Linked DNA regions of Nothobranchius furzeri. The main gene of each other region encodes a partner of the protein of the gene in region 3 in a complex. Links are inferred from orthologs where the notes say so. Each region holds a gene or a part of one and is shown on either strand. Other genes may lie near its edges. The genes, in order: phf5a, sf3b4, sf3b5, cwc22, sf3a3, gpkow and snrpd1.

Evidence for each region.
Region 1: the proteins of sf3b5 (region 3) and phf5a are in contact, whole or in part, in a cryo-EM structure (PDB 7EVN), measured with the Homo sapiens proteins. The link is inferred for Nothobranchius furzeri from reciprocal best matches to the Homo sapiens genes SF3B5 and PHF5A. Residues at the interface, in NP_112577.1 of Homo sapiens: Arg4, Tyr5, Thr6, Ile7, Gln10, Leu14; in NP_116147.1 of Homo sapiens: Pro6, Asp7, Leu8, Ile9, Phe10, Cys11, Arg12, Ile88, Leu91.
Region 2: sf3b5 (region 3) and sf3b4 share a complex: the UniProt entries of both Homo sapiens proteins name them as parts of the SF3B subcomplex of the 17S U2 SnRNP complex. The link is inferred for Nothobranchius furzeri from reciprocal best matches to the Homo sapiens genes SF3B5 and SF3B4.
Region 4: sf3b5 (region 3) and cwc22 share a complex: the UniProt entries of both Homo sapiens proteins name them as parts of the minor spliceosome. The link is inferred for Nothobranchius furzeri from reciprocal best matches to the Homo sapiens genes SF3B5 and CWC22.
Region 5: sf3b5 (region 3) and sf3a3 share a complex: the UniProt entries of both Homo sapiens proteins name them as parts of the 17S U2 SnRNP complex. The link is inferred for Nothobranchius furzeri from reciprocal best matches to the Homo sapiens genes SF3B5 and SF3A3.
Region 6: sf3b5 (region 3) and gpkow share a complex: the UniProt entries of both Homo sapiens proteins name them as parts of the minor spliceosome. The link is inferred for Nothobranchius furzeri from reciprocal best matches to the Homo sapiens genes SF3B5 and GPKOW.
Region 7: sf3b5 (region 3) and snrpd1 share a complex: the UniProt entries of both Homo sapiens proteins name them as parts of the minor spliceosome. The link is inferred for Nothobranchius furzeri from reciprocal best matches to the Homo sapiens genes SF3B5 and SNRPD1.

Annotation. Positions count from the first base shown.
Region 1 is NC_091756.1:28,019,722-28,023,872, reverse strand, and holds phf5a (PHD finger-like domain-containing protein 5A), read right to left. Parts: upstream 2,801-4,151; 5' UTR 2,699-2,800; coding exon 2,647-2,698; intron 2,358-2,646; coding exon 2,334-2,357; intron 688-2,333; coding exon 521-687; intron 451-520; coding exon 361-450; 3' UTR 286-360; downstream 1-285. Other genes in the region: l3mbtl2 (lethal(3)malignant brain tumor-like protein 2), read right to left, coding at 3,739-3,971, 4,048-4,151.
Region 2 is NC_091759.1:1,630,057-1,634,122, reverse strand, and holds sf3b4 (splicing factor 3B subunit 4), read right to left. Parts: upstream 2,801-4,066; 5' UTR 2,566-2,800; coding exon 2,532-2,565; intron 2,096-2,531; coding exon 1,967-2,095; intron 1,882-1,966; coding exon 1,339-1,881; intron 1,245-1,338; coding exon 1,074-1,244; intron 849-1,073; coding exon 702-848; intron 607-701; coding exon 458-606; 3' UTR 279-457; downstream 1-278. UniProt on the Homo sapiens protein: Component of the 17S U2 SnRNP complex of the spliceosome, a large ribonucleoprotein complex that removes introns from transcribed pre-mRNAs.
Region 3 is NC_091752.1:24,290,177-24,294,375, reverse strand, and holds sf3b5 (splicing factor 3B subunit 5), read right to left. Parts: upstream 2,705-4,199; 5' UTR 2,592-2,704; intron 1,063-2,591; 5' UTR 1,048-1,062; coding exon 787-1,047; 3' UTR 501-786; downstream 1-500. UniProt on the Homo sapiens protein: Component of the 17S U2 SnRNP complex of the spliceosome, a large ribonucleoprotein complex that removes introns from transcribed pre-mRNAs.
Region 4 is NC_091754.1:30,022,249-30,026,385, reverse strand, and holds the start of cwc22 (pre-mRNA-splicing factor CWC22 homolog), read right to left. Parts: upstream 2,801-4,137; 5' UTR 2,681-2,800; intron 1,747-2,680; 5' UTR 1,744-1,746; coding exon 1,689-1,743; intron 1,623-1,688; coding exon 1,411-1,622; intron 1,176-1,410; coding exon 898-1,175; intron 1-897. UniProt on the Homo sapiens protein: Required for pre-mRNA splicing as component of the spliceosome. As a component of the minor spliceosome, involved in the splicing of U12-type introns in pre-mRNAs. Promotes exon-junction complex (EJC) assembly.
Region 5 is NC_091751.1:25,496,844-25,501,063, reverse strand, and holds the start of sf3a3 (splicing factor 3A subunit 3), read right to left. Parts: upstream 2,801-4,220; 5' UTR 2,675-2,800; coding exon 2,579-2,674; intron 2,498-2,578; coding exon 2,450-2,497; intron 469-2,449; coding exon 416-468; intron 1-415. UniProt on the Homo sapiens protein: Component of the 17S U2 SnRNP complex of the spliceosome, a large ribonucleoprotein complex that removes introns from transcribed pre-mRNAs.
Region 6 is NC_091755.1:41,971,939-41,975,891, forward strand, and holds the start of gpkow (G-patch domain and KOW motifs-containing protein), read right to left. Parts: upstream 2,801-3,953; 5' UTR 2,590-2,800; coding exon 2,294-2,589; intron 2,137-2,293; coding exon 1,976-2,136; intron 1,747-1,975; coding exon 1,601-1,746; intron 1-1,600. Other genes in the region: membrane-associated guanylate kinase, WW and PDZ domain-containing protein 3, read left to right, coding at 3,733-3,815. UniProt on the Homo sapiens protein: RNA-binding protein involved in pre-mRNA splicing. As a component of the minor spliceosome, involved in the splicing of U12-type introns in pre-mRNAs.
Region 7 is NC_091759.1:18,894,640-18,898,322, forward strand, and holds snrpd1 (small nuclear ribonucleoprotein Sm D1), read right to left. Parts: upstream 2,370-3,683; 5' UTR 2,246-2,369; coding exon 2,232-2,245; intron 1,687-2,231; coding exon 1,610-1,686; intron 1,277-1,609; coding exon 1,076-1,276; intron 803-1,075; coding exon 726-802; 3' UTR 501-725; downstream 1-500. Other genes in the region: gamma-glutamylcyclotransferase, read right to left, coding at 1-4. UniProt on the Homo sapiens protein: Plays a role in pre-mRNA splicing as a core component of the spliceosomal U1, U2, U4 and U5 small nuclear ribonucleoproteins (snRNPs), the building blocks of the spliceosome.

The DNA.
Region 1 (4,151 bases), on a different chromosome or scaffold from region 3:
TATATAAACTTTAATTGAAGTGAAAATTTCCTAGCCATATTCCTGAAAAAGGGCGTGTCCTTTGACACGTTATAATAAATAGAAATGGTAAGAGAGAAGTGGGACTAGTAGACTGGGTTCACTCAGTTCTACAGCTTGCTGCTAAACGTTTACATGATCTAATAAGGTTTAATAAAACTAACAGGCTTAGGCTAATTTGAAAATGTTTAATGAAAAGATTTGAGTATTCCATCTGATTCATGTTCACCAATTATCTTTTCCAGTCACAAAACATGAAGACAGAAATAGAAAAAACATTTTATTAAGAAAAAGTTTTTGGAAAAAAAAAAAACGACTATGAACTCGGTGTTTCTCCTGTCTTCACCTCTTCTTGAAGCCGTACTTCTTCCTTTCATAGAACAGATCTGTCTTGGAGCTGCCCAGGTTTACGATCTTGGGACAGCCATCTCGCTGCAGAGAGGAACAAAATATTTAGAGACGTTCCTGCAGACACAGCTGGGCGTACGAGAGGAGGACTCACATCTTTCTCCTGGATGGTGCACTCTTTGCAGTAGTAAGCGTCAGACACGCCGGGACCTCCGCAGATCACACAGCGCCCCTGATAGGAGCCGTAGTTACACTCATCACAAATACGCACCAGCGTGCACGGTCGCACGTAAGAGTCGCAGATCACACACTTCCCATCACCTGGAAGAGGAAGAGAAACTAAGCTGGTGATGGGAACAATAATTATTTCTACATTTACTAATAAAGTGAAAGTGCTTCTGATCTTATTAGGTAACTGTAACAATCACAAGACTGACCCGCCGTCTCTTCTGTGAGTGTTTGGAACGTTAGGAAGAGTTTCAGTCACGTGTTTTTAAGTGTGAGTGGTTGTGAAACGAAGTGGGAGAGGAGCCAAAGCTGCACTGGAGGTGTTGGATAAGTGAAACCGGAGATCTGTTTAACTGCGACTTTTCCTATTCGACCTAATGGCTTCATTGACTTTTCTCAAAGCAAAATGTGGAAGTGACATCTTTCTCAGATTTAAATCTGAGCCTTGATCTGTGTGTACAGGTGCAGACTCTGCTCAGCTCGTGTCCTTCACCTAAACCAACTTCTGTCTCAGGGTCCCATCTGGACTCCAATGCACCAGAATGCCACGTTTGGAGTTTCTTTGATAATCCTGCAACATTTGCAATAACTTTAAAATTTTCCTGTCGGGTGCTTTTCCAGATTTTCTGGTTAAGTTGGCAAGTGTCCAGACAGGATGTCCACAGGTTTGAAAATTTCTGTTAACACATTCTTCTGTTGTCTCTTTTGTCCCAGCTGGGACACGCTGAACTCAGTGGATGGAGAAACTAGTTTTAGTGAAGTTCAGTGTTGAGAGTTTAACTTCTCTCAGACTAGTTTCAGTCTGGTGAACATCTTGGTTTGGGTTGTGACCTCGTTATTATTCCTCATGTCCAGCATGTACTGTCTAAAGGTGATTCATGTTTGCACGGTCTGTGTAGAAAATATGTTTTCTTCACTTACAGCCATACATCTGGACCCTGATTACTGTAAATGACCACCAGATTTTACCTGCATATGAGTCTGGGTCACGGGGGTTGCAGCCCCAGCAGAGATACCCAACCTTGCCTCTTTCTGAAGACCTCCTCCAGCAGGATCCCCAGGTGTGCCTTGCCCAAAGTGGAGGTACCTCCAATGTGTCGCAGGTCGACCTGGAGCCTCCTGCTGGCAGGACATGCCTGAAACGCTTCCCCTAGGTGGAGTCCAGGGGACATCCATACCAAATTCCCAACCCACCTCAGCTGGCTCCTCATCTTTAAAGACATCAGTCAGTCAAAAGCTCTGCCACGTGTAGCATATGATATATGCTGCCATCCCAATTTTGCATCATCACAGGATTCTGCCTCACTTTCAAGACCAATCCCAGTCTTTGTCCTCGATATCCAAAATCCTAACGATGACCTGCATATCTCCACCTCCACCCTAAGGCCTCGTCTTCCTTTTCCTTGTTGACACCTCAGATCATTTTCAAATTCTCTTATCTAAATTTATGTTTGATTATTTTAAAAATGCTGCTTAAATTTACATTGCATTGACTTTAAAATTCATTACGGATTTTACATTGGCATGGTTTTTTATAAGGTGGGTGTTTTTAAAGTGCCTATAAATAAAATCTAGAGGTTTAACAGCGTTTATGATGGTTGGTTCTTTTTAGCCGCCTTTACTCCAAGGAAATCAGCTAGATCTTTGGGTTAGAATTAGCCAAAAGCACAACGTTCTAGAGGAAAACCTATAACAGAAATAGACTTTACAGTAAACGTGTTAAAAGTGGAGACACTTACACTTCTCGCAAAGTCTCCCGATAGCTGCGGGAGGAAAACAGAACAGTCGTTCAATTAAACGTTTCAATTTTCAGGATAAACGATAAATTTGTACTTCTCTATGTTCAATACTCAGTTAAACGGGTTTAAAAACCATAAAATTGTTAGTGTCAACAGAGATGAAAACCGTAAAGACACGTCCAGCTCCGCTACTCATTTCAGTATTTATGCTAACAGTTAGCTTAGCAGCTAACACATGGCGCAAATCAAACGTGTTTCTGATATATCTGTGTAGTTTCAAAGGTACCGAACGACATAAAGTAAAGAAACATACCGACACCCGCTTGTTTTCGACAGAAGATCAAATCTGGGTGATGTTTAGCCATTTTCAGCTAACCAACGACGGCCGAACGTAATTCAGTTTTAACCTTTGACCGGCGTGCAAGTGTCGAGTTGAGTCGCTACCACCACCTAGTGCCTTCACCTTGTAACTACACTCTTAAAAAACGGGTTTCAAATAAACAAGGACATTGGGTGAAAATGCTGTCATTAGCCCAGAATTTAAACAAATTTCCAAGTTTTATGTTCACTAAAATTCTTTATCCCTCTGCTCCAGAGGTGATGCCTCATCCTGATACGAGCTGCAATGTCTCTGAGTTACCATAGAACAGCAGCAAAGTTAATAAAATTACAAAAATCCCTGGGTTGCTGACACTGTCTCAAAAGGTTCAACAACAAATAATGAAGAATAGGGAACATTTTTATCCAGGTCCATTTTATTATTTTCTTTTCAGTTGTTGTTTAACCACTAATCAAAAGCCAAGATGGATTTTCAGTATATATTTATTACTTTTGTCAGTTTCAAATCATTACAATGACCACTGTGAGTTCTTCTTTAACAGAATTATACCAACAAACATTAAAACAGTTAACTTGGCTAATATGACCAGCCAGTGAATTAGTCTAACTAGTGAAACAGGTCCACATTGCCATACCGGCTCCTGGTCTATGCAGCCAGGATCAGCCGGTTTTCATCTGTTCACCTACTGGTCTGACTCTTACTCCCGACTGGATATTTGCTCACAAAAACAAATCTGATAACGAAACAAAAACAATGACTTGATCACTAACAAAAGCTTTTGAGGAACTGGGTGTAGCTAGGGTGACCTTGGGGGAGGCGAGACAGTTCTGAACTCTCTTTTTGGGTCGGAGGGTCTGAGAGTTTATAAACAGCAGAGATTCATGAGACATAGCTCCAGCCGTCTTTTGATTCACATCTGTTACCATCTCAGAACGTCATCTACAGCAGCCGCTTATATCTCCATCGGTTCAGCTCCTCCTGCAGTGTCTTGTTGTGTTGTTTTCCCACATCTCTTCCATGCTCCTCCCATTTTCTGGCCTCCTTTTTTCTGGGGTTTGTCTTTTTTTAACTCCGCTCAGCTTGTCCTTTATGCTCGCCTCCATTTTCTGCTGTTTCTCTTTTCTCTGCGGTCTGATGGATCATGTCTGCCAGTGGGCTCTGCTCTGGCACCTGATGTCCCGACTGGATCATCTGCTCGGCCTTCTCTTGTTTCACTTCACACTGCGAGACTTTTTGAGGCTGGTCTGGGGGGTTGATAAGGGTCTCCATCTCCTCCACCTTCACCTGCACTCTAACGACTACAGAGACACAACCCAGTCACACAACAATGATCAAAAATGACCTTTAAACCAAATTTGAAGAGCCTTCACTTACTCTCTCTCTCCTCTGGTTCAGCCTTCAGCTGGACGAGCGGCGCCGCTGGACATCGGCTTTGAGAATCGTCAGTGGTCGTATTCGTATCACCAGCCAGCTGATTT
Region 2 (4,066 bases), on a different chromosome or scaffold from region 3:
TAAATGTCCAAAGAAAACATTTTAAAAAAATTCTTTTAAAAATATTTTTGGATTTTAATCCCAACAGTAGGGAATATCACTTTACTTTTTAAATAAAACCATAATACCTGAGAGTATATGACCTACTGGGGCCCCTGCCTCAAGTTATAAATACCTTTTGGACATAAATTAGAACATATTACTCTCTCACCTGCTTATTATGCAGCTTTTACTCATAAACTAATTTCTGGTACATTACAAGTTTATTAGTAATAATTAAACGCAAAAATATCCAAAAGTTGTACTAAAATGTTTATTTGCCAATTTTCTGTTTATCTGTACAATGAGCATAAATCAAAAACAGTTGGTTAAATTACTTCCAAGATAACAAAATCCAGTAGATCGAAACATGTATTTAAAAAAACAACAAGCTGAATGTTCCTGTGGTCTGACGTGGATCACGGAGCTCTTGGTGCTCTCAAGGGACCCGAGGAGGGGCACCGGGAGGTCTTGGTGGCATTGGAGGTGCTCTCTGGAAACCAAAAGGAGGTGGACGAGGAGGAACGGCACCATAGCCGGGAGGAGGCATGGGGGGAGGTCCTCTCATACCTGGAGGCACAGGGTGGGCTTGGGAAAAAAAAAAAAAAAAAAAGAAATAACAGGTTAAAAACAACTTTCATTTAAAAAAAATTGTATTTTTGAGAAAATGCCACAGTGCTCACCCATGGGGGGTCCATACGGTGCTCTGGGAGGCATGCCCATAGGAGGTGGGGGCATGCTGGGGGGCGGTGGAGCTCGAGCCGATCCTGGTGGAGCAGGTGGAGGCACCATGCCAGGAGGAGCAGGCGGCATGGGCATCTGAGGCATACCTGTGGGCCCGGATCAAACAAATAAAAATAACTCATTCAGGGCTAACAGCTGCATTTTAATAACCTGACATTTAAATTGAAACATTATTGTTTTTATTTCTTCACATTTGAAGGAGATGACTGAGGTTGATCCTGCACAATTTTATTAATCGTTATTGGACTTCTTAAAGCTAAAATGGGGAGCAGAGACTTAAATTTTCAGGCTTTTCTGCAACCGAGTTATACCTGGAGGCATGCTGGCCGGTGCGAAAGGTGGAGGAACAGCTGGAGGTCCACCAAGAGAAGATGGAGGACCTGGTGTCCCTGCTGATGGAGGCATGCCCATAGAAGGGGGCATCGTTGGAGGCATTGATCCAGGGGGAGGAACGTGAGGAAAGGCACCAGGAGGCGGCAAACCTGCGCAAAAAAAAAAACAAAACTATTATATAATTAACCCAATAAATGTAGAAAGGTACTTCTTTATCGGCAGTTAAGATTAGAGCAGTCATACCATGAAGAGGAATCCCGGGGCCCATTGCGGTTAGGAGTGGCGTCTGTGCAGATGGTGGGGGCGGAGCATCTGCAAACAGCTGATGTGGCCTGTCTGCCTGCGAGAGAGGGTTTTGTGCAGCTAGCAGTCGCTCTGCCGCTGAGCCATGGCGTTCTCCTTTAGAATCTTTCTTGAACGCGTACGACACAGTGATGGGCCGGTTGCACAGGTACTGGCCATTCATGGCCTCGATGGCGGCGTCGGACGCATCAAAGCTGGCAAAGTTGATGAAGGCGTAACCCTTGGAGTTGCCGGTGTCTGGGTCTCGCATGATCTTTGGAGTTTGTAGAATAACGCCAAAAGCACTGAACGTGTCGTAGAGCAGTTTTTCATCGATCTCCGGGTCCAAGTTCCCGATGAAGATATTAGCGCCAACATCCAGGTTTTTGTTGTGGGCGGAGGCCTTATTCACGCGAATCGGTTTGCCGTAGAGCTTAATCATGTTCATGATTTTAATGGCATAGTCAGCATCTTCCTCACTGAGGAACTCCACAAATCCATAACCTGAGTGGAACAGTTTCATTTGTTATGTACATTGTTACAGTGAATTTTAGGACTTTCATCCCATCTTGAATAGCCTGATTCTCACCTTGATGTTGACCTGTGACCCGATCTTTGGGCATGTGTGTGTTGACAACAGGGCCAGCCTGCAGAAAAAGCTCCCATAGCAACGGCTCTGACACCTTCTCATCCAAACCACCGACATACACGGTGGCATCTGGAAACACAAGAAAATACCTATTAAGGAAAACGGTGTTTACATTGATAGGTGAGCATTGCTACATGCTAATGTCGCGAGTTTTTAAGGCTAACTTTAGTTGTTTAGTGGTTCTAGTCCTGACTTGGAATAATCTCTGCATTTCAAATAAACAACATAAAACTCCCGTATGCTATCGTGAAGTCAAGCATTAAGTAATACAAGCATTAAGTAATACAATTAAAATAAACAAAAAACGGCTAACTTAGCTAGAAGCTAGGCTAACGAGACCGGAGACTTCCATGTGTTTGAGTACGCATTTACCCCCAAAACACGGGCTAATTAGACAGCTAACATTGGTGGGAAAGAGCGGATAAGAATTTCAATTGTTATAAATCAAGAGATATCGCTAAATAATGAAGGTGTAAGCGTTAAACCATTTAAACAATGAAATTACCTTGGTTTCTTTCTGAAATTGGTCCCGCTGCCATGTTGAATGACCAACGCTGGGAGAGCGTTGTGAAGGGAAGGCCCGCCTCTTCCGGTAAAACCCAACAAAATAAAATAAGATCAAATAAATTAAAGTAAAAATAAACTAATTCTTCTGTTTTTGTAGTTACATAAAAAATTGTTATACTCTGATTACACTAAAGACCCAGACATTCCTAAACAAAAAAAGACAGCAAATAAATGAATGTTAATTAAAAACTTGAAAGGCAATCAAAATCACTAAGTTTCATTTGAATTGATTTGATAGTTTTTTCTGGGATATTTTTAGTTGTATGGCACTTAACCATTAACAACAAATTCAAAACAAAGCCACAATTATTTTTATTATTTGATTTATTTCATATACATATAAATATACTAAAGGTATAAACATGGAATACAAAGTGTTCATAGAAAATACACACATTTAGGGTCTCAAAAATTTTAGAAAGTAACTATTTTTTATATATATATATATATATATATATAAAACACACATTAAAAATAGAAACTAACATCATGCACCAAAGACAAAAAATAAAACTGTTGCCAAAGCTGTTTATAAAATGAATTTAAAATAAGCATCAGTAAGGGAGCCTTCATAGATAATAGTCATTAAAATAACTGAAAGAGCTGAGAATAATTAATGGCTTGTGAAGAAAAATACATCTACTGAACTTTATTTTAAAAAGTAAACCTTAAAAATAAACAAAATTAAAGACCTCCAGGCTCACTCATTAAACCTGCTCAAATACACTTATTACATTTTCTTTTTTTGGCCCCTAAAACGAGAACAGAATTTCACAACACAAACCAAATAATGCAACACATATTTCACAAGCTGATTCACTAAAACCCGGTGTTCATAAACACAATCGCCTTCTTTTAACCTTCATAATATTTGTCACATAATAAAGAAATAATTTGACATTATGGCATAAATATGAGAAAGTATAGCACTGTCATGATACTTAGAGATAGTTTGGCTAGCAGGGAGCGAACCAAGTTGCTTCCTGGTTAGGAAGTGTTGCTTGGCAATCACCAAAGACCACAGAAAGAGAAAGGTTTAGACTAATTAAAAAAAACAAGTTATAGGCTGTTTTGCAATATGAGTACTTGTTTAAACGTGTGTACTATATTAATTGTGAAATGTCATTGGCGTTAGCCCGTGTACTGTTCCAATACCAAGTACGCATCATGGCAAGTACGCTCAAAGTTCCTGGATGTGTTCGTCCTTCACCCATTACAATAAAGTATCCATCTTTGGACTTGGACCAGAAAAGTATCCCATAATGCATTTAGTCACAAACCGTTATACCACAAATAGATAGTAAAGCTCATAAAAATAAAAATAATTACGTCTTCAAAGGGCCGCTCAAAAGACTGGCTCTTTTGAACGAAGCAAAGAAGTCTCAGTGAGAGTGGAAGGAGGGGGGCTGTTCATGATGGACGAAACCATAATGCATATTATTGAGCCTTTTATATACTTCAGCCTGATAATTT
Region 3 (4,199 bases):
CAGTTCCCAGTTTTGTCTTGAAAAAGCAGGTCGGCTGGTTTTGAAAGCAGTCTTTTGGCAATTTTTAATAACATCATAAACCTGTGTTCTGTTGTTTTTAACACCGTTATTTTTTTTCTTCAACCACCTTTTGGTGGACTTTTCTAAATTTCACCCACTGATTTTTCAGATAATTTTCTTCCGTGAAATTTCCTACTGCAAATAAGCAGTTTCAGCATTTGAACCACAGTGCATCAGTTATTGTTGTAGTTGAGTAAAAGCATTTTGCTACAACTATAATAAAATAAAGATTATCTGCATTAAATTCTCTTTTTTTTCTTAATATTGCAGAAAAGTATTGGGTGTAGCTGAAAAACACCAGCATTTCAGAGTAAAAGGCTTCAAAAGGCTACCTGCCACCTATGAATGTTTATTCAAATAAACCCAAATCACATTCAATCCAAATGATGACAAATAAAAGTGTTGTGAAAGAATAGATGAATAGCTGGCTGTAAAATAAATAAGATTGTAGAAAAAGGTCAAATTTTAATGAATAAGCAAAACTTATCATGGGCACATTGTAATCATCAATCTCTTCAATCTCTTCACAGATAATTGTGCATCACTTAGACACATTTACCGTTCTTGTAAACATTGAGATCTTGAAATAATTTGTTTTGCCTCAGTGCTGTCCATATGCAAACAAAACTACTATAAATGGATGATCCAATTATTTTTGATAGGGTCAAACAGGATTTAATGGTAGAAAAAAGAATTTCCAGGGACAAAAGCTCACTCTGGAGTTATTTAAGCATCATCGGGCTTGTCTGCTGGGGGCCCACATGGCTGAAGCATCTTCTCCATCAAATTGAAGCGAACGCGGGCCTTGCTCTCATTCTCAGCCACGGAGAAGTAGTTTAGCAGGTCAAAGTGTCCCATGTAGGAGCAATATGAGTCACGATGTTGGTTGACCAGCCATTCCCACTTGCTGGTATCAGCATGTCCTGTGCCGATGTACTTTGATTGAAGATGTTCCAGCTGACTGTGGATGTTGTATCGGTCCGTCATTTTCACTCAAAGACTCTGGATGGGGAAAGGATAGAAAAACATCACCCGTGATGTTCTTTAAAATCATTTATATAAAAAAATTCTACATTTTCTAGAATATTAGGCTGATTCATTAGACGTTGTTCTTGTACAATGTTGTTTGTAAAGGTCAATCTTGTTTGATTCACCAGGGAAAGAAGTCCTTTAAGTTTTAAAATAAACTTGGGGTTTCATCAGTGTCCAGATGAAGATGTACTGTTATTCTTAAAAAGATAATGTGTGCATGCTGTACGTAATTCATGCTGGGATGCAAAAAGCATCACTTGTTTTTACTACATTGTGTCAGAACTCCATACACACATTAGCCTGTATGATGTTGTATAAGGCACATACTGAGCAGGTAAAGCTTTTTAAAATGCTGCTTTCTAGGGATGAACAATATATCAGCATCAATATCTGTATCGGCCGATGTTGGTCAATTTTTAACATATCGGCTCGATAAATAAAACCAGGCCGATATTTTTTCCATCTCGTCTCCATTTGTTCGCCTGTTTCAGAGGGTGAGGGGGGTGATGTGTAATTGTTTAGTCATGTGAACAGTGAATGAAATAATCTCAGACCCATAAATGTGTGTGTTGCGTGTACATAATGTAAATTCAGCTTTAATGTCAGCATATCTGTACCGGCAAATATCAGTTATCAGCCATAACAGTGAGCTCAATATCAGATATCGGTATCAGCCCAAAAATGTCATATCGGTGCATCACTACTGCTTTTCTACATGTTTTAACTTTTAGAACAGCTAAAAAGTTTCAGACTTTTTAACATTGATTTCCAACAATGGTGGAAAGAAGAAAAAAAACCTCCAGCTCAGTCTCTTTTTAATTTGGGTCAGACAAACAAAATAAACGAGTATTTGCAGCTAATCGTAGCAGCAAAAGCTACTTCTTAACAGTATTGATACTATTTATTGACACAATCAGCAGATCGCATGCGCTTTTGATTTAGCAAAAGAAAAGACAACACAAACGCAACAACAAAACCTTAGAAGGTCCCAGGACTAAGTACTGATAACGCAACGTGTGGGTGACTACTTTAATCTGGATGTATGGTGACAACTAGGGAAAAAGACAGAATTAAAGCTTAAAAACTACCACTCCAACATTAAACATCCCAAAAAGACTATTATTTAAAGCAAAATACAAACGAACATTTCAAATATATTGGAAAGGCTAACGATGTTAGCAAAGTTATCTAATTCGTTCATGCAGTGTATTTTTCCACTGCATTCGAATCCTTAATCGCCGTTATTTATGTGAGTTTTATCCAAATGATCAACATTGACATATTAACAAACAAAATACAATTCCAAATATTCGGTCGTTGCCCTTTATTTACACATTTTCTTTGTTGGACAACGTTTGATCTTCCACTCTTTATGCTAACAGTAGCTTAGCTTAGCTAGTCGGTCTTCGTGTAATAAAAGTCTAAATTTAGGCTCCCCTGGAGGGCAAATAATAGCTTCAGCTTCACATCAATTGGTTTTAAAAGAACAAAACACTTACGTAATGTGTACAGAGATCAAGAACTAAAACAAAACAGGTAAATTAATTCTGAGTCGTTCAGGCACTGACAAACGACCACTGCCGGCGCGTTACCCTATGAAATGATCCGGGTAGGAACAAATGTCGTACTGTTCTGATTCCGCTCCATTGGTCAAAGTGTACTTCTTACTCACTCAAAGAAAGTTTTTTTTTTTTTTTTTTTTTAGAAAATCTGGGTACATTAAATACAGTTATTATTTTCTTTGGTTTATTTGTAGGTTAATTGAAAATAGGTTGTGTCTATGTTGCAATCTTTTCTTTTTTATGTTTTAAATTCGTGTGTAGCCTCTATCATCATTCCACACCATTCAAGGGAATACGTCCATTGTTTTTCTTATGCTTCTAAAAACAAATAGTACTACTTGGTCTTCTTCCAAATAAATAGACTGCAGTATTTATTGGCTTTTTCTAAGGATATAAATATGCAAGTGTCTGCAGCAATCATTAGAGTACCTGTGCAGTGAGATAAACTTTTCATCAAAACTGATGTATTCATGTTGTTTTAAAACATTTATCTTAAAACAAATAATCACAGTACAATTTTTCAAATTGCCACATCGAGACTAAATTGCTCAGAATTGCTTAGCACTGGGCTCTCCTGTGGCTGGTATAATGAAATTTTTTCTGTGGATAATGTGTTTGATGATGTTCTGCATTGAGCATGTTTGCTGCCTGTAGAGTTATGACCCTAATTTTCCATCTACCAGCTGTTGCTAATGGCAACCATGATTGGGACAGAAAAATATGAAAATATGGTTAGATTTGGGTTCAGAAATGTTTTGAAATATTTGTTAAAAATTACTCACCTATGATCTTGACTGCTTTTCCTCACTAGGGTCAAAGGGAGCAGTCTTTCCCCAGCAGTCATTAGCAAAGTACACCCTGGACAGGCCACAAGATATCACAGGGACACTGGGACAAACAAACTACCACGTTATGGTAGAGTCGCGTTGTTGTTATCCAACGTGGATGTTTTGTCTCTACAGATAGCACAAGCCTGGAGGAGCTTCTGCTGTGTGGTGGGGTTGCTAATGCTAATGGTCAGTGTTGGGAAAGTTACTTTTAAAAAGTAATTAGGTATAGTTACTGATCACGTCGTTGTCCAAAAAGTAACTAAAAGTAACTAATCACCAAGAAAAATAAACATTTTGTTACCTTTTTTTTCACTAAAGAATGCAAGAAAAATGGGTTCCCCTCTTGATTAAACTTACTTAATTTACTATAAATTACTACAATACTGAAATATAAATGACTAATGACTGGAACATAATAAAATGTATGTCAAAATGTTTTTTTTTTATCAAACTGAATAATTGAAACAGATGGGCACTTAACAGGAGGAACTACAAACAGGAACATTACATTAATCAAGACTATTAAAATGTCACTGTGTGATATTTAACAAGACCCCAATCAGCTCAAAATTATAATTGCAAATATAAACAACTGTAAAGGTTCCTGAGCCTTTAAATGGTCTCTCAGTATAGTGAAATTCCTGAAATAAAAGTAATTTTGCACAGCATTCTAATTTTTCCTGCTTCACATAATTGTGTGTTATTAGTAGCATTT
Region 4 (4,137 bases), on a different chromosome or scaffold from region 3:
GTTTCACAAATCAGAGGAAGGTTTCACATATCACAAACTATGTTTTATGCATTCTGCTACTACGAGCCCAGAATAATCTAAAACAGGTTTGAAGAACGTATGTGTTGCAGTTTTTGAGCTAGAGCAGAATAAAAATGGTCTGAGTAGAGAAAAATTGGGTGTATTAGCCCTTTAGCCATTTCCCGAATCGGAAGCTAACTTTAGCCTCGTATGAAAACTAGTGATTGAAACCACTTACAAATCTCTGAAAATCTACGCTTTTTAATTAAAAAAGGGTATTAATAACGTTTCAGTCAAGTCAGTATTAGAAATCGTGGTCTTTATATCATATCTAAATTATATATAAAGTTTATATTATTACTTTAACTGTTTTAACAAACAGGGAGACGAGAAAAATCAAATAGCTAAGTTAAAGCTAAGCTACAATTGCTGATAGCTTTATTTATGTAGCTTTTGTGTTAGCTTGTGAACTCCCTGCATTCGTTTTAAGACTGCGTGTTAATATTGATACAATTAGCTATGAAACACGGTGCCCTTTGCAATAATTCTCTGGTAAAGCTTTAAATGCTATAGTGCCTACATTTAAGAACTAAGAACGGTTGCAACAATTAGTTAATTTCATCCTTACCTTACCTCTATGAAACCAGCCGAGTATGGTTGAAACAAAAGCGGCCGCCAAAAAAGACCAACTTCCGGCCGAGGTCTTTCGATCGTCGATTTTCCGGTAAAAGTAATGACACGCCATCTTGTTCTCGCTAGAAAGTTCTTTCGGTGGCACGCCAGCTGATGTCTGCAGCCAGATCCTACTCAAATTTAGTGAATCTTCTCTAGTAAATATGAAAGTTGGTAGGTAGATGTAGGCATGGTGTTAATGACACGTCCTGAGAAACTTCTTACCGACCAAAACGTCTTCTATCAAAGCGTTCCGTGTTTCGGTCTCTCTCTCTTGACCTGGATCTGTCTCGTCCTCTGGATCGAGCTCTGACTCTTTCTCTGGACCGGGACCTGTCTCTCTCTCTGGACCGGGACCTGTCTCGCTCTCTGGACCGGGACCTGTCCCTCTCTCTGGACCGGGACCTGTCCCTCTCTCTGGACCGGGACCTGTCCCGTTCTCTAGAATGAGATCTGTCTTTTTCCCTGGATGAAGATTTGTCCTTCTCTTTGGATCTGGATGTCTGGAAAGAAAAAAAAAAGGATTTTAAGGATGTTATATTTTGATCATCGCATGTAAAAATGATCTGAAACCTGAAGACAGAAGAAAATGAAAACATGAGACAAGAAAAATAAAGTCCTACTGGACTTCTGAAATATCTTTTTAGTGAGTTATTTAGTTTTTCTGCTTTAGTTTACAAAGCAGAATTAAAGAGCGTAATAATTGAAAACACAAAAAGAGCAGGGCTTGATTCTTACATTTATCTGAGCCACACTGCTCCTAATCTTCTGCAGTGCATCTTGATGTTCCTCCTCATCCTCACTGTTTCTGCTGTCGGAGCTGCAGGGGGCAGGACTCTTAGAGCCTGTGGGACCGGACTGAGGAGAGGATCGCTTTTCGGGGTTTCTCTCTGCCACACCGGCCTGTTGGGGTATCGCTGCTGCTTGATTGGACTCATCTTCTGATGGCTCTGTAGACAAAGAAGATGAATATGTCATTTCTGGAAAAACATAAAGAAAGAAACTGTGAGTGTTACCTTTGTGTTCTCTATGTGCAGGACTGGGACTTTCACTTTTGGCTGAAGAGTCCATTTACTAAAATAAAGATTAGAGTAATCTGTTAATTTGTTATCCAAACTTTTCTTGTTTCTAATAAACAGAATGTAAAAACTCCTTTGTTGTTTGTGCCATATGAAATCCTACTGGTCCTTATTCTCCGATAACAGGAAAAAATGTTAGCAAATATAAACGTTAATGTAAAATGGAAAGAATCTCTTTGTCAAGCACTGGTTGATTAACTAGAGAAAATAAAAACGGACCAGTCAATATAAATGACGTTTTGACTTTTTAAGTGACTAAGCATTTCATCTTTTCCCAGAAAGAAAACCTGGATTTAAAAACCATCGAACTGACATTAATTCATTCTTTATCGACCTTTAGGCTGCTTAAAAGTAACTAAAAGAAACTGGTATTTTGGTTTAATTTGCTAGTGTTTATTCTATGGATATACGTTTATTTATATGTCTTATTAAGTCTAGTTGTTTGGATAATGACGTTGCTACCTGAAACAAGACGAGTAAAAATATTTTTGCGACAAGCGATTAAAAACTTTATTTAATGACCCTTAAGCATAAAATGGACAACATGAACGAAATAAATTCTGTCACCCCGTTTCAAAAACATGTTAGACGTATTTTCGCTGCAGTTTTCAGCGGAGTTGTCTTATTCAAAGATATGATACAAAAACAACTAAGAAACCAACTCCTATTATTGGCCTTGAAAGGAAGAAATCATTCAACGGGTTTATTTATACGTCCAACAGGACAACGCTGAGACGATATAATAACACACCATAACTGTGTGTGAATAAACTTTGTTTTAGTCGGAATTTTCTGTTGTCGCCATGTGTCTTAATGCGCTAAAGCTAGCTCTGTCGCTAGCGCTATATTGTTATTTGCCAGTCTGCCATCTAATCCTTTATATTTTTAGATTTTCAATAACTCTGCAAAACGATGTTAACCAAACGTACCTTCCGTGCCACTAATATCCAATCTTCTTTAGATATTTCCGACTTTCCTAAATCACTGTAGTTCGACTAGCGGAAACCGTCTAAACATTAAACCATATCCGTTAGGTCAAAGGTTACTTCCGGGTTTCACAATAAAAGTTTCAAGTTTTGCAAGCTGTTGCCAATTTTCCAGTTACGGTGAAGCAAGAAAATTCACCCTCTCAGAAAAATACATATAAAAAGGTAAAAAAATAAAAAAAGAAAGAAAAAAAAGAAAGAAAAGAAAAAAGACATGTGAACACAGTTTATTTTGATGTTTTAAAGTTGTGAAGCATTAACTAAATTATAATAATAAGAAGAAGAATCTTGGTACATGTTAGGATGTAAAAAATAATATAGCTTTCATTGTTCAAGTTTGTTTATTTATAACTAATTACATTGTGGCAAATAAATAAACAAATATATAAACTTATCTTCAAACTGTCTGTGCTTTTTGTCCTAAACTCCAGCCACTGAGCTGAATTCACCATGACACATTACATCAGTCATGTTCTGTCTAACATGGAGAAGGGTCTTCTTTCTTTTAATAATCAGACATCCTTCTTCATAACACAAGTAGTTTGCAGTGGATCAGGGTGATCTGACCTCACTTGACAGGTTCTGTATGCAAAAATGAAAGATTAATATATTAGGCTATTGTAATGCAAGCTTGTAAATGATTTTCACAACTATTCAGGAATTCACTTTAAGAAGGGTGACAAGATGGAACACATAGAAAGAAAGAACAAGAAGAAGAAAAAAAGAAGAAGAATGCTTCTTCTTGTTCCTTCTTGCTCCGTCTTCTTGTTCCTTCTTCTTCTTCTTCTTGTTCCTTCTTCTTCTTCTTCTTGTTTCTTCTTGTTCCTTCTTCTTGTTTCTTCTTGTTCCTTCTTCTTGTTTCTTCTTGTTCCTTCTTCCTTCTTCTTCTTCCTTCTTCCTCTTCTTCTTCTTCTTCCTCCTTCTTCCTTCTTCTTCTTCCTTCTTCTTCTTCTTCTTCCTTCTTCTTGTTCCTTCTTCTTCTTCTTGTTCCTTCTTCTTCTTCTTCTTGTTTCTTCTTGTTCCTTCTTCTTGTTTCTTCTTCTTCTTCTTCTTCTTCCTTCTTCCTTCTTATTCTTCTTCTTCCTTCTTCCTGTTTCTTCTTTCTTCATCTTCCTTCTTCCTGTTGTCCTCCATGGTGCGCAGTAGGACACAAGGTTCAATAAAGCACCATTAGAAAGACACCCCAAGTCATGTCCTCCATCATTAGTGCTTCCAGAAATTGGAAGCATAGCACTCTCTTCATGCTATCCCCACTGATGTAGAGTGGTTTAATGACACTATCTTACACTAACTGTGCCATGCTGAGGCCTACAGCCAAGTCTGAATCTCTTCAAATGAAGATGTGTGGAATTAGTCTGGATGTCAACCCTGACATCAGATCGACAACAGCTGTGGGCTGA
Region 5 (4,220 bases), on a different chromosome or scaffold from region 3:
CAGTGGGTGTGCGGGAGGCGGGATGTGATCCAAAATCACCTGAACACATTTCTAGGTAGAGTTAGATAAAGCAGGAATTGTGTACAGCTATATGTACGCAGTGTTTTATGGGTCCAATTTTTTATTTCTGCAAGTAAATTTTTTTAGTAAAGGATCCAAACAAAGTTTTATAAATAGAGCCATTGGACTTTAATATTTAATATATTTAATAAAAGAAGTAGCAACAAAAGCCGTGGAATGGGATACCAACGCTTCTGATAGGCCAGAATAAAAATGTAATTATATATTTAGATTTTTTTTACTGTCAGGAAAACAAACCTGAGTAAACAATGGGTAACAGAAAGAGACAACAGCTTAACTCTAACAAGCAAAAAAAAAAAGTACATTGAATATATTTAAAAAAATTAAAACGTACCCATCTTTGTCTTCATAAGAGTCCCTGAGATTTGCACTCACTTCCATATACCTCTGTGAGGAGACACAGAACATGACAACAGATGACATTAAACTAGCCAACACTGACTCACTGTTAGATCATCATGGTAATAGACTTGGCTCTAAATTACCATGGTAACACATAGCTTGACAACACCTAGCTCTAGAATACTATTTAAAGTGAGGGTCAATGCCTGGTTGGAGACGCATTTCATCCACATTTCCTGTTAGAAAAACGCTTCTGAAAGAGGCGTCACCTGGCGAACCGGGAGAGCGGCACTGAGGCAGTGGTAGACCGCACCCCCCTCAACCCCTCCGCGTGTGCTGTCGGAGTTTCTCAATCTAAAAACGAGTTGTTAACTAGCGCAGGCACACTCGCGCGTGCATGCAAGCATGCACTCACACAAGACTTACCGCTCAGGAAAAAAAAAGCAGACACAGATTCTGCAGCATTCTGGAGGATTTCCTTTTAACCACGATCATTAGATGAAAAGGGGAGGAGGGCATTACGCACATAGGGGTTGGGGCGCTCCGAGCACCCCAACCCCTATGTGCATAATGCCCTCCGGATCTAAGACTTTGGGTTAAGCTGTGTGTGAGATCAGTTGACAAATTCTGCTTCTTAGAATCTCCAGGTAGAAATATCAGACTGATTCAGATGTCATCATAGTTCTGTTAGATCTGAGAAGATCTAAATAAACATCAGATTGTTAAATAAAGCACATTACCTTTAGAAGCAACCAGCACACTGCACTGAGCTGATCAAGTATTTTATTCAACCACGACATACGCTTTCATTCAGGATCATGTTTAAATGTGATTCTTAAAATTATTTAAAACATTTTAAAAATCAACCTATGGAGGTCTGATCCCACCAAAATTGACAATAACTGGTTATAAAATTGAAAGTACATATAGAAATACATGATGCAATTATTAGGTGGGCTATTAGTATGAGTGTCTGCCCTGGGACTGGGATATCGGGATTCAAATCCACGGTCGAGTCACACCTAAGATTCGAAAAACAGGAACCAATGCCTCCTTGCTTGGCACTAAGCTTTAAAGGGTTGGATCGGGGGTTAAACCACCAAATAGCTCCCGAGTGCTGCCGTGTCTCCAACAACCTTTGGAGGACTGCCGGGGGTGGGTCAAATGCAGAGAACAATGTCACACATCAGTGTGACAACTAGTGGGACTTTAACTTTAATTCACCTCATCACCATATACCACAGGAAGTGTGAGGAATATAAATGAAGAAATGTATTAAAAAAATAGATGTGGAAATTAATAATTGTATTCATTTAACTCCAAGTGTGTTATCTTCAATTGTATTTCCTCATTTATTGAATTACTTTTTTTTTTTGCCCTTTCTTAATTTAATGTAAGCGTTGGCAGGATCAATCCTCCCTCTGTACCACCTGTTGGGTTTTGTGTATGAAGTCTGGATGTGTCAGTAAAGCCCTCTGGTTTCACTGCATTTTAATGAGGAGAACTTCAGATTAAAAGAGCAGCAGTGATCAACCTGAGGTTTTGATTTACTTCTCTAAACGTTTGGATACTATTAGTGAAAATTCAGTGAAAGTCCCCTGCGATGGGCTGGCACTCTGTCCAGGGTGTACCCCGCCTGATTGCCCATTGACCGCTGGAGATGGGCACCAGTCCCCCCCCCCCCGCGACCCTACGTGGCCAAGCGGGTTCAGACGATGGATGGATGGATGGTGAAAATTCACCAAAGTTACACTAAAAGTGAATGACGACCAAGGCAGGAACCAAGCATTACAGGTAACTCAATAAAAATAAAAGCAACTTTACCCAACAACAAATAAGCTTTATTTTCTGATATAACTTCTATATTACATTTAACAAATCAGAACAACATCGATTGCAATGATTCATAAAATTCAGATCTTAAGCACAATGATTGTTATTGACTCTATTACTTAACACGACGGAAAAAACTACACCACCAAACAACATTTAGCTCACTGGTGGAAGAGCAGCATTTCATACTTACATCCAACATGGCTCTTATTCGATGATCACAATTAATTTGATCCCGCAGCTGAAACAAGAGTCGAAAACAAATACGTGAACATTGCGTTGGTGTTAGCAACATGCTAATGCTAAAAGCTGCGCTGCTTACCGTGGTCTTTTTGTGCAACATTTCTTTAGTTTTTGCGTCCATCAGCCTCTCTTTCTCTTCGTGGTAGCGACGCTGTTGTTCCAAAATCGACTCCATCGTTTACAAAATGCTCAAGAGTTTAATGAAGACTGTTCAGGGTTGCTGCTGAAGCGTTAGCACAGCGCAGTATGGTACGTTGACCAAAGGCGTCTGTTCAGGAGTTACTGTCCGCTTCAGTACGGCTAGGAAAACATTTCCCAATTATTAGTTCCGCTGTGGTCACACAAACGTCCATAACGGTGACAGTACGGGATTCCTACAAGTGGACAAATTAGCATATATTTTATTTTTATATTATTAGAATTTTATGAAAGTTTTAAAATTATTATTTGCTGTCCATCCAGACCGATCCAGACGTGAGAGTTTGTGAATAATTCGACTGCGGACGGTTTTATGGATCAAAATAGAAATTTTCGTTCACGTGAGCTGTTTGAGGTTATTTTATTGTGAGCTATTTCTAATCACATCTCATCAAAGCCTGCAAAATCAGGACACACACACTATCCCAGCGCACACGCGGTGGAGCGCACTTACCACAGACCGGAAGTGTTGGCGCTTATAACTTGTTTCTTAGGTGCAAATGATAAATCATTCTCAAATGTAATACAACAATTTACGATGCATTCCACTGTCAGAGCTGTGTATAGTAATGTGACAGGATGTGATAAAACTAAAGTAGAAATGATATCCAACATTTTTATGATTCTCAGAGGTCTGATCCCATGTCATATATATATATATATATATATATATATATATATATATATATATATATATATATATATATATATATATATATATATATATATATTCCTTTTTATCTTTATAATTACCGCCAGAGCTTTTATTTTGGCAGTCAACACCGGAAACTCCACAGTAACAGTCGCTGCCTTGACAGTGGCGTTCTGGCTTCGGTACGTTCTCCAGCAGCAGCAAGTCAAAGCACCGGGCAGCCAGTGTTTGGGTTTTGTGGACTACAGGGACTTTGGGAACCGTTTTCTCCGCCGCGGTGCGTCCAGCCTGTTCAGGAAGGTGAGCAGCCAGTTTTCCACGGTGACAACACTCGCTTGCTGTAATGGATTTGAGGCGCTGAGGCGTTATCTGCGGAAGGGGGGGGGCGGTCGTTGTCGTTGTGGAGACGAGGTGTGGGGGGGTGGGGGGTATCCATTCTGTCTTTGTGCTACTGGGGCAGACCTGGCAGAGGTCAGTGGCAGACCCGCTACCAGAGGGCTGCTCCTGGTTAGCTGCAGCATCTTCCGACATCTACATGCTTGATGCTAACTCTTCATTTATCCAACAAAACAGGCGGAGCGGACCGGGTCGGAACGAGCCCGTGGGCTCCCCCGAACTCTCCGAACATTTAAACCCACTTCTCCGAGGTGTTGAGGGTTTTTAAAAACATCAGAAAGTTTCCTCAGCCCGGAGTAGCTCACCACGCTACAATAGAGTTCTTTCACAAACCAGGAGCAGCAGACTGATGAAACATCACAGATTAGAACCGGAGATCCACATCAATGATTCCGAAACCTATTTTAACTTCTAACCAATAAACAACATGCTGACACCTGGATCAGACCATCAGTGGTTAAAGTCTGAACACATA
Region 6 (3,953 bases), on a different chromosome or scaffold from region 3:
AGTAGCAGACGTTTTGTACTGTCAGGTGTTTTCGTGCCCTCACTGAGGCACCTGTCCAGAAGATTCTATCACAACCTTCCCGTAGCATCCTCAGACAGATAACGAGCTCAGACCGACGGCCTTCCTTCACGTCCGTCAGGAAGTGAAGTTTAAAGATTCGTTTGTTACTGATGAAATTGTCACTGCTGATTTCTTCAACCTGTCAGCTTTTTCTGGATTTAACGTGGTTTTTACAGTTTTCACTGTCAATTACACAACCTAGCCGGTTTTAAGTCAGGCACATCCCCAGGCAGCCCGGCACTGCTGCAGGATTTAATTGTATTTTTATGTTCCTGAATAGCATCTGCTTTAATTAATGCTCTAAAAATTATTTCCACCAAAAATAAGAGTTTGTTTACCAGTTTTGAGCATTTAATACTCGGTCAGTATCCTGATTTGTTTGATTAACTTTAGTGAGACGTCTGGTTTTAACACTGAGCAGTGCACAAGATTAAAATTTAACAGTTAAATTTAGTGTTCAAAAACCGATTCAGCTTCTGAAATTTTGTGCATTTACTGGTGTTACCTGTGACATATTAGCATGAAAATAGGGCGGAAAACATCTAGACATGAAAATCGGCACAGAACATTGGCAACACTAATCGTCCATCAGCTGTCCGTAACCTTTACACGTCGGTATCGGCAACAGAAAAACCATTATCGGTCGAACTTTACTTTTCATGGTTTGCTGCTAACATCACAACCAAACGTCTGTGAGGTGGTACAATCCTTTAACAAGCTGACGAAGATGATGTAAGCATGCCTTTTGATTAGGAATGTGTATTTTTGAAATTCTTGTGATACGATACATATCACGATACAGGGGAGACGATACGATATTTCACGATATATTGCGATACATTCAGTCAGACGTTACAAGCAATTTTTTAACTGAATTTATTGTAAGAATGTTCAATAAACAGTCCAAACTGATACGTAACATGTTTAACATGAGGTATCTGAACCATGATGGAGGGATTTACATTTCAGTGGTGGAAACAAAACCCGCTGCACACTGCTGCCAACTAGCGGGTGCTGATTGAATTGCGCAAAACGAAAATACACAAATGTTTGCATGTAAATTCTTTCAGGAATTAGATACACGGCTTTTGAATATCGATGTAATAATCGCAGGAAAAAATATCACGATATATTGCCACATCGATATTTCCGATACACGGCTTTTGAATATCGATATAATGTTGCTGGGAAAAATATCACGATATATTGCCATATCGATATTTTCTTACATCTCTACTTTTGATGGATATTGGTAGATCCGGGTGTCAGATTGCTGCAGTAGCATGTACACGTGCTTTAAATTAATCATTAAGATAAAGAATAATTTTGCTGTACTTTACTAAACCTTTTAAAGGTTTATTCCATTTGTTTTATAAATCTAAAGGTTCTGGTTTGTTGCATTACTGACTATAACAGATGGCTTGACTTAAGCTGCTCTAACAACAAAATTGTGAATAATTAATTTTTCTATCTTTTCTCATTCGTCTGGTAAACTTTGCATACTCCTAAGTCTCTTACAGCCCGTTCTGTCCCCACTTACAGATTCAGGCCGCAGGTCCACCTTTACATGGTCTCCATCCTCAAAACCCTCAGGGACTTTGTTCTGCATCAACAGAGGGATGGAGAGGTCCAGGCTTCTGTTCGACTCTGCTGCATTCTGCCATTGCTCCAGCTGCCTCCGTGAATCTACAAGCAGAAACACACAACGTCACTGATAAAGATGGTTTTCTTAGTGTTGGGTAGGAAAGTAAAAACTGTCTAATACACACACAAACCGGCCATGGAGCTCGTGCTCTTAATTGTTTTACAGTCTAGCAGGAAGACACTTCCAGGATGGGCTCCGTTTGCGAGGGGGTACACATTTTGACACGCAACCATTCATTGTCCAACTTCTGCATCTTTTTCAACCACAAACCTTCAATGAGTTCTTTGACAGCTTGAGACTCCACCGAGTCTTTGTCTTGGACCGAGCCGCGCGCTGAGCCTCCACTCGGGTCCGCTCGGTCCGGTTTGTGCCAGCGGTTCTTCTGGATCAATGGGATGATGAGCTCTTTGGGCTTCTCGGTTGGCTTTGAACTGCCACGGAAGACAAAAGTTAAATCTTTAAAGTGTCCCGGGTAGATACATTACACACACCACGTAAAAGTGTGGTCAGTCAGATTTAGAGTTCAAACGTCACCACTCCGTTTACAAACCACTGACAGCTTTAGCCTCTAGCTAGCGGTTAGCCTACCTCTGTAACTCATTTCGGTCGATTCCAGTCAGGTAATCCTTCTCGTCGGTCTTGGCTGGAATGCCGCCGGCTGCGGGTTTAAATTTGCTGACAGTTTTTGTGAAACCAAACGATACCGCCGCTGCCTTTTTATCTCCTTGGTTCTCGGCGGCACCTGAACCGTCTCCGTGCGACGCCATGATTGTTTGTGGAAGAAGAACGATGAGGGCGCAGTGCATTCTGGGAGATGGGGTTGCGTTAACGAGCCCGATAACCACTCTAGGCTGCAATTGACTACAGATCCCATCATGCCTCATAATAAGAGTTCTTTAAAGGTCGCAGGCAATCCGAGATTTACTGATTTATTTGTGAAATCCGTTGGTTATTAGTAACTAAATAATATATCAAATCATTTAAAGTAGTTAAACAGACGGTAATTACACTGACACTTGATTTAAAATAGAAAGGTACTGATGTTTAACACTTTCATTGTGAACATGTCTAGACTTGCAGGTCTATTTTTGAAAAGCTGAAACATCGCTCCGTTGAAGCGGTCATCTTGTAAACCCCTATAGTTTATCTGGAGCTTTTTAGTCTCCTGTAATAAAAAGAAACAAGAGCTGAATGAGTTGGATTAATGCGTGGGTCTGACTCCTTTAAATCGCAGATAGTGAAGCGGACTCTGGTGCTGCTGATGCAGGTGTGTTTTAGGCAGAATGTGGGCGGGGCTTTTAACTCCTCCTCCCAGTGCCTCCTGAGCGCCTGAACTTGTGAGGTTAACCTTTTCATTAGCCATGTAGCCTAATGTTGCTGTTTTTTTCTCCGCATTTGCATGTCAGCAGCATGAGCGCAACCTTATTACTATTTCCGCACCTGCTTTTGCGCAACCTCTGAAGTTCAGCGACACCTTTATTTGCTGAACCCGACATTTGTATGATTTTTTGGGGGGTAATTCGGGCTTTTTCTGTATGCATGATGGATAAACGATGAGGCGCAGAGAGTGAACATGGGGGTAAGAAACGCACTGTTCTCTTTGCACAAGTTAAAACCTCCCGTTTGGGTCACAACCATCCACGCCTTCTTGTTTTTTCCTCCTTTCTCCTTTTTGCTCGCAGCAATGTAGCAGCTGCTGAAATTATCTGCGACCGCCGTCAAATCTGCCCGATAGTGTGTGTGTGTGTGTGTGTGTGTTTTATTTTCCTCTCTCTCTCTCTCTCTCCTGCTCTCCCCGCTCTCTCGCTCTCCTCAGCTCCCAGAGCATCACTAGTGTCCAAACATCCCGTCAGCCGTGCGCATCGGCTCTGACTTTCTCCGCTGGCTCCGGCTGATCGCCTTTCATCTCATCTCCTCCAGACTCCAGACTCTTCCTCGCTCCTCCTCCAGCTCCTGCTGTTGCTCCAAACCAAACAGGTCGCGTTATTTATTAAAGTGCTGCTCCTTTTTTAACCTCGGCAGGGTCAATGTATATAGACGCGTTCAAACGGATCCTCTTTGAAAGGCTGAACTGCTTGAAGAGAATGTGTGTGTGTCAGCGGCAAGGCAGGTCAGTATTCAGTCTAAATATGAGAAATCTGAGAATCTGCTTCGTGTGTGTGTGTGTGTGTGTGTGTGTGTGTGTGTGTGTGTGTGTGTGTGTGTTTTGAGAGTTTCTTGATAGCTTTTCTATTTTCTTTATCGGTTT
Region 7 (3,683 bases), on a different chromosome or scaffold from region 3:
ACATTGTGATAAAAATACTCCTGCTCGAAAAGAACCTGGTGCCTTCGACATGTGACGAATATGTTAAAAGATGATCGTTTAATATAAAATAACTAGCTTTGGGCAATGATTTACGTCATTCCACGAACCTCTACGTTAGCCCGGCAAGCCATCCTATAGGCTACCATCTACCAGGTCACTTTTCCTACACCGCCATCTAGCGGTGACTTTGGTCCCCGGTGTAATGTAAAACAACGTTCCCCCACCTACATGTGCAGTTTTACCAATTATCACAACTGATGTGAGAAACTGCACCTAAAAGTTGACTAAATAAACAGTTTTGCTTTATTTTGTCAACTGTAGTGGGATAAAGGTCTGATGACTAAATAATAATTTCATAAAATACATTTTTATTTTAGAGCCTGGCCTGCCAGACTCATCTGTGTAACTTTATACACAAGGAAGCGTGGGGCTGGCTAGTACACCAGTAGCATTGGGATCTGATTGGGACAACACAGTAGTTAATGATGCTAGTTTATGTGCTGACACTTTATTCAGTATTAAAAACCAACACAAAGAAGTCAGAGTAATTTGTCCTCTTAACCAGAAGTTTAATGTACAAAAAAAAAAGTCCAACTAAAAAGCACACAGAAATTCACAAAACGTTTCTGCTTTAATGAAGCAAAGGAAAAAAAAAATCCTGTACAAACAGTGAAGTGTTAGGAATCAACAGAACAGCCTTGCGATCATCTCCTTGGTCCACCTCGTCCCCGTCCCCTTCCTCTCCCACGTCCCCGTCCCCTGCCTCGTCCCCGTCCAGCCACTGAGGAGACAGATGAGCAGCATCAGCACAAGTGTCACAAACACCATATTGCTCATTTAGCATCTGGTCCTTTAAACCACTCCTTAAATTATGTCGTACAGTTAATGTTACAATTTAGTTCTTTTAATATAAACCCATGCAGAAACCTGTGCAAACACACCAGTTACATCACTGTGAAAACCTTTTTGTTCACGCAAAGGAGAATTCAGATTCACTTTCTAAAAAAAACACCTTAAGATAAAATTCAACTCAACATATCTTATGCATTTTCACCTTTCTCACCTGCTTCTCTCTTCTTGGACTTGATCTTTGGCTCGATGTCAACCAGCAAGGTGTCCAGAGGGAGGCTGTCTGGGAGGATGAAGTAGCGAATATTGTTGCCGCGGATACTCAGCGACTCCAGCTGAGTGGGCTCCCTGTTTTTTAGGGTCATTTTTACCGCCTTCAGGTGAGTGTTCATGCTCACATCAACACCTGAAAAACAGAGAGGAGGGATGAAACACCAGCCATAAGTACATCTGGCACTTGAGTTTAGGATTAATTTTACAGATTAGAAAATATTTTAATTTGCAGGTTGTGTGTGTGCTTGTCTAGGGTTTGTTAAACATAAAAAAATCCCATCAAATAGGATTAAATAATACAAAAACATACATTGTGCAGATTTATCTGTACTAAAGTCTGACTATGAGGATGAAAGCACAGCTGTGGGTATTAATCTACTTAATGCATACAAATATATGTCATTAGTATTGAAATTAAAGAGCTTCAGCTGACTCCTGGCTTATCTGACCACCTTTATGAGCTCACCTGTGATGGTGCCGTGAACCTGGGTGCCATTTTTCAGCTCAATGGTTACGGTTTCATGGCTGAGCTTCATCAAAAACCTGTGGGCATCATTGCACACGATGACTGAGTGAAAACATCACAACGTAATTGGGACATTTCTCGCAGAGGCTAGATAGTAGCTTAGCTTTAGCTATCTAGTTAGCCACCGATGGCTATTAGGTGACTTTTAAAGCGTTTGAAACAATAAAAACACTGATTATCCACCAGTTTAACAGCTAAACTAAATATTTACAAAATGAACTCTAACAAATTATGTTAAAACCCCATTTTGAGCCGCTTTAGTTGATTGACAAGCTAATGCTACAACGGTTGAATGAGTTAACGTCTAGCCTAATATTTTTACTTATTGAAATAGAAATGTACTTAAAGTAGACGTTCATCTATGTTGATAATTAAAACTGTGCGTAGGAACGTGTTTTAAACCCTCAGCGGTCGCCGTAACGTCGCTCAGGATCCATTACATTTTTCCACTTCCCGCCTCATCACCGTTTAATCAAATCCCAATCCATCCGGCCACATCACTTTCATTTGATCAGTTTACGTTAATTCTCCGGTTAATCCGGGACCTCCCGCTGCCGCCTACCTGACTAGTTTCATGATGATGGAAAACAGTAGAGAAAAATCCTCCACCGAAGACAAAAATTACAGCGATCGAGTGAAAACACAGGCCGCTGTTGTATTCGAAACGTTCAGGGATGTGACGTCACTAAAAGGCGACAACAAAGACGAGGGGGTGTAATTACCGCCATCTACTGGTGGAATTGTGATCCGTTCTAACACTTTTGTTTTATTTTTCTGTGCAACATGTTTTACAGTAGTGTTAAAATCCACAATCTTTATTTTACTACTAATTTATTGGAATCTGGCAGTTAAAAGGTCAAATATCCAAAACAAAGATCCCTAAATGATCAATATTTAGGAAGATCACTACCGTTACCTACTGCTGGATTCGTGATCTGCAGAATTTGCAACCAAAAGGTCAAAACGGTGTTTATGTGCAACATGTGTTAAAGTCGTAGTAAAATTTACATTTTTACTGATTTATCAAAATCTGGAAGATGAAAAAAGGTAAAATATCCACAACAATTAACCCTAACTGATCAAGACCTAATTCATTCAACAGATCAGGAGACAACTTCAGAGAACTTGTCGCAGTTGAATAAAACCACAAAGCAGCACTTTCAGCTCATTTTATTAAGAGTAAACTCTGCACCGATACTTAAGAGATTTGGCCACACATCAAATCTGTCTTCTTGAGACCTGCTGGGAATGTATCAAGTATAATCAATGAGAGTGCTTTTTTTTATTCCAAAGATGTAGGCTGAGACCAATAAATCATAAAGTGTGAAGCACAAAAAGAAAAACGGCACAAGGCCATTAAACTCAGCATTATTCCACTTCTAATAATAATAAAAATAAATAAAACCGTCATCCTCTCTGTGTGTTGCCTGCACATGATTGACGCAACACGTTATTAATATTCTGGAGCAGAAAAAGTCTCGACTCAGTGCATCTGCTGTTGAACTCTAGAAAAGAAAATCTAATTATGCAGTGGTTTAAAACAGAAGTCATGAAATATTACAGCAGGTGAGCACGTGTTCCTGGAAATCTTTCATGTGGAAACAGATAATGTCCTTTTGGGGTTTCTCTCCACCTTAACCATAGCAACTGAGTAATCGATCTTCAGATCAGCAGTCGTGTTTTATTCTCCTGTAAACGTTACAGCGGGGCTCAAACAGGAAGTCACACGTCCAACAAAATAAAATCAAAGGTCAGCTGGACGTGAACATTCAGATAAAGGGGTTAAACGTCGGGCCGCTGCGCCATGAAATGTTTTAGGCTTTTAAACTTTGATTTAGCGTGTTTAAAAAACAATGTTAACAAATAGAAACTAAAGAAGGCACACACACCAAAAGAAGATCCTCACTATAATAAGGAAGTGATGATAAATGATTTATTTCTAAAGCAGCTAATAAATACGAGTCAAACGATGCTGTAGTGTGAACGCCGATATGCTAAAAGCGTATAAACCTAA